2 linked regions of the Macaca fascicularis genome follow. The protein of the gene in region 2 interacts with the protein of the main gene of each other region in a pairwise test. Links are inferred from orthologs where the notes say so. Each region holds a gene or a part of one and is shown on either strand. Other genes may lie near its edges.

Region 1 (2,707 bases), on a different chromosome or scaffold from region 2:
AGCCCGTCAAGGCACAGCTCACCCCTGCCCCATCATTAAAAATAAATATGCCAGGCGCGGAGGCTCACGCCTGTAATCCCAGCACTTTGGGAGACCGAGGTCAAGAGATTGAGATCATCCTGGCCAACATGGTGAAACCCCGTCTCTACTAAAAATACAAAAATTAGTTGGGCGTGATGGCGGCACCTGTAATCCCAGCTACTCGGGAGGCTGAGGCAGGAGCATCGCTTGAACCAGGGAGTCGGAGGTTGCAGTGAGCCGAGATTGTGCCACTGCACTCCAGCCTGGCGACAGAGTGAGACTCCGTCTCAAAAAAAAATAAATTAAATAAATAAACAAACAGATGTGCCTCTCAGTGCTAACAGGCAAAAACTGAAGGGTGCTGTTTCCGACCAGGACAGCAAAGGAGACAGAATCCCCACCAGTGGGGGCTGAGGAGGTAGGTTGAAAACTAGAGCCAGTGAATCTCAGACCCTTGCAGGCTTCCTAGCAAGGGCAGGCTCTCAGTGGTCTTGGGATCCAGGGAGTCTACAGTTTGGAGTCAGGGGAAGGCGTTGGGGACAAAGGACCCTTACACGGTAATAGTCGGTGCTGTAGATATCCCTGCTCATGCCAAAATCACCAATCTTGACCACCAGTCCTTGGCCCACCAGACAGTTTCGTGTGGCCAGGTCCCGGTGCACAAAATGAAGACCTGCCAGGTACACCATCCCCGCAGCGACCTGGCTAGCCACGGCCAGCAGCTGCCCCAGACCCAGGGGGCCTGGAGCCACATCCTCCCCACCAGCCAGCAGCTTGGCATCAGGCCCATGGGATCTGTGAACAAGAAAAGGAGTGGGGATAGGCTGGGAGGACAGAATCCCCAGGAGCCTGAGGAAGGCGATCCCCAGCAGCCAGGTGTGATGGGAGAGGAGACTGGGGGCCTAGTAGTGGAGGATTGAGAGAACAGTAGAGGCAGCTGTCCAGAGGGGCGGGACGGAGGAGCAGAACAGGCGTGCCCACCTCCAGGGCTTCCACCAGAGACAGCTCACAGTTCCCACATCCATGCCTTCCTCTCTGGCAGCTCCTTGAATTCCAGATGCCCACTGGCCCCTACATCCCTTGCCATAGGCACGTCAGACTCAGCCCTTGCCAATTGCAGCTCAGTGTCTTTCCCTGAGCCTGACCCTGACCCTGCCTCAGGGAAGGGACCCTCCCCACCCAGGCAGACCCTGAAACCAGGGAGTCCTTGATTGTCCTGTCTCTCTCCCCTTTGCCCTCAGTGACCAGCCATTCCTACAGGGTCTTCCTTACTTTTGAAGGTGTCCAGGATGCCTGCCTTCTCCCCACAGTGAACACTTGGGTCAGTCCTAGTCACTCATCTGTATTCCCCAATGTTCCTTCTCCTGAACCTTTGCCTGAATCGATCACTTTGCCAAGAATGCCCTTTCCTACTAGCCAATCTTCTCCTCATTCGTTTAGTTGAGGCATTTGTTAAACATTTCCAACGTGCCAAGCACCGGGGCTACAGCGCAGAGTATGATGCAGATAAGCAGGTCATGGCAGTGCAGTGTGAGGGGCACCTGGCAGGCACGGGTGGGAATGGAAAAAGCCAGGGAAGGCTTCCTAGAGGAAGGGACACCTAAACTGAAACTCAGCTCCTGAAGCCATTCGAAGGGGGCTGAGGCAGGGAGGGGTAGAGTCTGTGTGTCTGTCTCCATCTTTCTGTGGAGGGAGGGAGGCCCAGTGCTCCAGGCAGAGGGAACTGGAAGTACAAAGGCCTGGAGGGGAGAAGGAACAGATGGTCCCTCCTAGGGGAAGTCTTCCAGACTCATCTCTGAGCATTAATGATTCCCTCCATTGATTCCCCCAGTGTTCCATCCAGCAGTTAGAGCCTCATCTCCCACAGCCTGGGCCCCAGATGGTGGTATCTCCCTAGCCTGTGTCCTCAAGACCAGCACTGAGCCTACGCCATGTCTGGGAGCAAAGAGATAGGCTCCTCCCTGGCCTTCTCGGGCTCCTCTCTGCCGATCCTCCTCCACACTCAACCTTGGGTCTGGCCTCGCCTCCTGCTCCACACCCTGCATGGGCTCCCTCCTGGTCCACACGATAAGCCCAAGACTCAGGGTTCTCTCCTAGCTGAGTCCTGCCACCTGACTGTATGAATGACCCATCACTCCCAAGGGGATGTTTGGGGACCAGCTCATGACCATCAGCTGGACAACCACACAGCGCTTGCTCATCCAGAACCACAGCCCTCCACTGTCCCTCTTACTGGTGAGGAAAGTGAGGGGAAAGCTACTCGGCAAAGAAGGCTCAGCTCATAAGTGGCAGCTGATTCCAAACCCTGGTCTTCTCCCTGCCTTGCAAACACTGCCCCATCCTCCCAGGGGCGATCTCATCAGAAGATGACCAAGGGAGTAGACCAAGGGACTAGACCAAGGGAACATGTGACCATCACATCAGGGGTTGAGAGTAGGGGCTCTGCCTGGGGTCACATCACCCCTGGGCCATTCACTACCTGTGTACCCTTGGGCAAGTCACCGAACCTCTCTAAGCCTTATCTGTGAAACAGGCACGTTTCTTGAAGTTATTAAAATTAGCACAAATAGATAAACATATCAGAGTTGTTCTGTCCGAAGTCAAATAAATGAATTTTTTGTAACTTGCTCCAAGTATAGATTGCAATATATGCTTGGAGGCCATAAAGAACAAATACATATTTATA
Region 2 (4,301 bases):
GTGAAGCCAAATGCACCGGGAAGGCAGAACCAGAGATGGTGAGCCGCAGAACCAGAGATGGTGAGCCACAGGTTCCTGATCTCTTCTGGCCCCTGTGTTCACCTGTCTGGAATCTGTCTGCTCTGGACTTTTCGATTACTTGGGCCATAGCTTCCTTTATTGTTTAGGCCAGCTGGAGCTGGGTCAATGAGAGACTGGATGGGTGGAGGATCTCACTGTGCTCATGCTTTCCACTACCCTCCATACTTTAATTGTTCTCGATTTCTCTAACTGGCCTTGATGTCTCTTCTGATCTCCAGACCACATGCCCACAGATGTCCCAAAAGCACGTCTGAAATTGACCTCATTATTATTGTTGTTACTATTTTTGAGACAGAGTCTCGCTCTTTTGCCCAGGCTGGCAATGGCAGTCTTGGCTCACTGCAACTTCCGCCTTCCGGGTTCAAGCGATTCTCCTGCCTCAGCCTGCTCCCAAGTAGCTGGGATTACAGGCGCCTGCCACCACGCCCAGCTAATTTTTTTTTGTATTTTTAGTACAGACGGAGGTTTCACCATGTTGGTCAGGCTGGTCTCAAACTCCTGACCTCAAGTGATCACCGCGCCCGGCCCTGACCTCATTAATTCTTTTTTTTTTTTTTTTTTGATAGGGAGTCTAGCTCTGTTGCCGGGCTGGAGTGCCCTGGCGCCATTTCGGCTCACCGCAATCTCTGCCTCCCGGGTTCAAGCTATTCTCCTGCCTCGGCCTCCCGAGGGGCTGGGACTACAGGCGCGCGCCACCACGCCCGGCTAACTTTTGTATTTTTAGTAGAGACAGGGTTTCACTATGTTGGCCAGGCTGGTCTCGAACTCCTGACCTCGTGATCCACTCGCCTCGACCTCCCAAAGTGCAGGGATTACAGGCGTGAGCCACCGCGCTCTGATCTCATTATTTCTACCTCCCATCTTCATTTCCAGTTTCAGAGATACAAACTCCCGGACCGCCTGCCTCTCCTCAGATAAACCAAGGTCGTTAAGTTCAGGCTCCGCCTCCCCACAGGGCCGCCCCAAGGTCAGCCGCTTCTTCCCCCGCTCAGCTCCTTGGGGGCGTTGTCCGCGTGCCCCTCCGCAGCGGGGGCCGGCGCTCTAGGCTGCAGCGGGCAGTTCACACAGCCTCATCATCTCGCTGGTTTCCGGTGCTCGGCGGCTACTCTAGCCCTCAGCCGGGCCCTGGGACTCTATCCCCTAAGGCGGCTTCTCTATGTTCTACATCGTCCCTTTGTCCCGAATTTCCTCCGGGAGGACGCTCTGGTGGGATCCAAGCCCTTCCCCCACCGCGTCTGTGGCCGCTTTTAGGTGCAACTGGAGAAGGCACTGAAGCCCTACGAGATTCACACCGTCTTCGGTCTCCCGGGGTCGGCGCCGAGCGGGAGAATGGCGGAAGTAAGTATGGAGGTGCCCTTCCCTCCCGCCGCTCTTCTCGATGGTCGCTTCCGTCAGCGACGGGAAAGGGGGTCCTGGCGCCTGCGCGGAACCGGGCTGGGCGCTCGTCGCGTAGTGGGTGGGGGCGCAGGGAGCGGGAGTCGCCGCTGCCGCCGGAGCTAACCGCGGGGACCGAGATGCAGGTGGGACCGGAACCGGAACCCCCCTCTTCAAGTGCCTCTTCCCTCTCCGCGACCCGGCCCTGGCGCCCGAGAGGATCCCTGGGTGGGGGTGGGCGTGGAGGGCCGGGGGCTGGAGGGGCACTCGGCCCCGGAGAGTGCAGCAGACAGGGCTGGTCCCGAGGCGGATGCGGCCCCGGAGAATGGGCGGCTGGGGGGTGTCCAGGGAGTAGGGTCGGGTCGGAGTGGATGGACCACCGGGCCCGGAGGGTCCGAGCCAAGAGCGGAGCCTGCACCCTCCATCACCCGCCCTTCGGGAAATATCAGAACTGAGCCAGGAAGCAGGTGCACCGGGAAACTGTGTCTGAGTCCTGCTTGGCAGAAGAGAAACTGAGTCACCAGCTTAGGAGCCGCAGGGTCAGCGGGCCTGAAGGGGGCTGGGTCTGTCTGCGGTGCAGAGGGTTGGGTGGGCCTGTGTGAGCGGAGGTGGCCGCTGGCTGGAGATTGGTCTGCACCTCTTGGCTGGGTTCCCCCCTGCTCCATGACTCCTGCATCTCCTGGCTCTTTCTCGTTGGTTTGGAGTTGTCCCTGCGGTTGGAGCCATCTGAGCTTGTAGGGTCGAGGCCCAGGAGGAACGGGAGGGTTCGCCGACTTACAGCCTGGCTGTAGGTTTGAACAGGAGTCTGAGGTCGCTGAGGGTTTGAGAAGACTTTCCTGAGCTGCCCTGGCCCCAGTCCTGGGGCTGTCACCTTCCAGTATTGCGTGGGGGGAGGAGCGCTAACAAAAGAGCCAAGGGTTGTAAATTCCACACCCAGCTCTGCCACTTTATAGTTGTAAGACCTTGAGAGGGCTCTTGCTATCTCTAATTTCTCTTTTAGAAAACTGGAACTATAATGTTTTTCTCCCACATGAAGATAGTAACAATGGCAGTCGTTTAGCGGATGCTTACTTTGCATTCAGCGCTGACATATCCCATTCCATGTAATTCTCTCAACATTTCGAGGGGGGAGGGATCATGAGCTCTGTTTAACAGATACAAAAACGGAGGCTCAGAGAGGACGTGGGATTTGTTCAAGATAACATCGCTTATAAGGGGGCTGGACTGGGCACTCATAAGGTGGTTTCAGCCCTGGTCTGACTCTAGTCCATGGCCTTAACCAGAAGGCTAACCTGCCTTTAGGGCATACTCCCCAGTGGGAGAAGAGGAAGGTGAAAAATCCTAGGGCCCCAGCTCTCCCTGTGATGTTTTGTTTATGTGAGGCCAGCAAAGACTTGACCTGACCCAACCTAGTTGCTCCTCTGGGGTCCTTGCGGCCTCTGGCCCCATACTGAAGGGATACCAAAGAAGTGGGCTGCAGCTATTTCAGATCTCCTTCACGCAGTGCGTGTGTGCTGGATTCTGGGGTCAGCTTTCAAGACAATTACTGTTTTGGTCCGTCATGCATCCATCCTTCTTAGTGAATCGGCCCCCTTCGAAGAGCTGGACCCTAAGATGTGTGAGGCAGGCTCTCTAAGGTCTAGAGTCCCAGCTCCCCTCTAGCCTCCTGCGAGCTAGGGCGGTGAGGTGCTATGGCTGAGGTTGGCCCAGCTGGTCCCTGGGGACAGGGACTGTGGAGAGGGGAAAACAGTAGACTTGGAGTTCTGAAACTTTTCTGAGCTTCGGTTTCCTCATCTGTTCGAGGGGTCTTTGAAACCTCTCACAGGGAAAGGTAAGATAACCAAGAGGGAGCCTCTAAAATGGCTCATGGGAAGTGTGACATGAATATTGGAGGATCCGACGTAGAGAAGAGGGGTGATCTGGAAAAGTTCTCTTTTTTAGGGGGAAGGTGCTCCAAAGCCCTCTACCTCTGGATCCAAAGCTAAGGAAATTGGGGACAAACGCGGCAGGCTGGGGCAGGCTGCTGGGGAACCAGTTGGCTGGGGCCTGCGGGGTGCTAGGATCTGGGAGAGGGAAGGGAGGTGTTGGGCTCCCTTCCCCATGGCTCTCTGTGGAGTCTGCAGTAGGGATGAGCATCTCTGGCTGGGGGTGGGATGCAGCCCCCAGTGCGCCCTCAGCAGTGACCCTCGTGTGTGCCTCTCTCTTCCTTCCGCAGCTGCTGCCGCCCACCCCTCGTCTTCTGGCTGCCTCCCTCTTTGTGCCCCGCAGGCTCCCCCTCTCCACCTCCTGGGGCCCATCATGAATGGTGCCCCTTCCCCAGAGGACGGGGCCTCCCCCTCGTCTCCCCCACTGCCCCCACCCCCGCCCCCTAGTTGGCGGGAGTTCTGTGAGTCCCACGCCCGGGCTGCGGCTCTGGACTTTGCCCGCCGTTTTCGCCTCTACCTGGCCTCCCACCCCCAATATGCGGGGCCCGGGGCTGAGGCTGCCTTCTCCCGCCGTTTTGCTGAGCTCTTCCTGCAGCACTTTGAAGCCGAGGTGGCCCGGGCCTCTGGCTCCCTGTCGCCACCCATCCTGGCTCCCCTGAGCCCTGGTGCAGAGATCTCGCCACATGACCTGTCCCTTGAGAGCTGCAGGGTGGGTGGGCCCCTGGCTGTGCTGGGCCCTTCTCGATCATCTGAGGACCTGGCCGGCCCCCTCCCTTCCTCAGTCTCTTCCTCCTCTACAACCTCCTCCAAGCCGAAGCTCAAGAAGCGCTTCTCCCTGCGCTCAGTGGGTCGCTCCGTCCGAGGCTCAGTCCGTGGCATCCTGCAGTGGCGGGGGACCGTTGACCCTCCCTCCTCGACTGG

What was found.
Region 1: the proteins of SH2B1 (region 2) and NTRK1 interact in a two-hybrid assay, tested with the Homo sapiens proteins (2 studies listed by BioGRID). The link is inferred for Macaca fascicularis from reciprocal best matches to the Homo sapiens genes SH2B1 and NTRK1.

Annotation. Positions count from the first base shown.
Region 1 is NC_088375.1:104,196,021-104,198,727, forward strand, and holds part of NTRK1 (high affinity nerve growth factor receptor), read right to left. Parts: intron 817-2,707; coding exon 576-816; intron 1-575. UniProt on the Homo sapiens protein: Receptor tyrosine kinase involved in the development and the maturation of the central and peripheral nervous systems through regulation of proliferation, differentiation and survival of sympathetic and nervous neurons.
Region 2 is NC_088394.1:27,606,973-27,611,273, reverse strand, and holds the start of SH2B1 (SH2B adapter protein 1), read left to right. Parts: upstream 1-1,197; 5' UTR 1,198-1,419; intron 1,420-1,512; exon of another isoform or gene 1,513-3,286; intron 3,287-3,666; exon of another isoform or gene 3,667-3,670; 5' UTR 3,671-3,753; coding exon 3,754-4,301. UniProt on the Homo sapiens protein: Adapter protein for several members of the tyrosine kinase receptor family.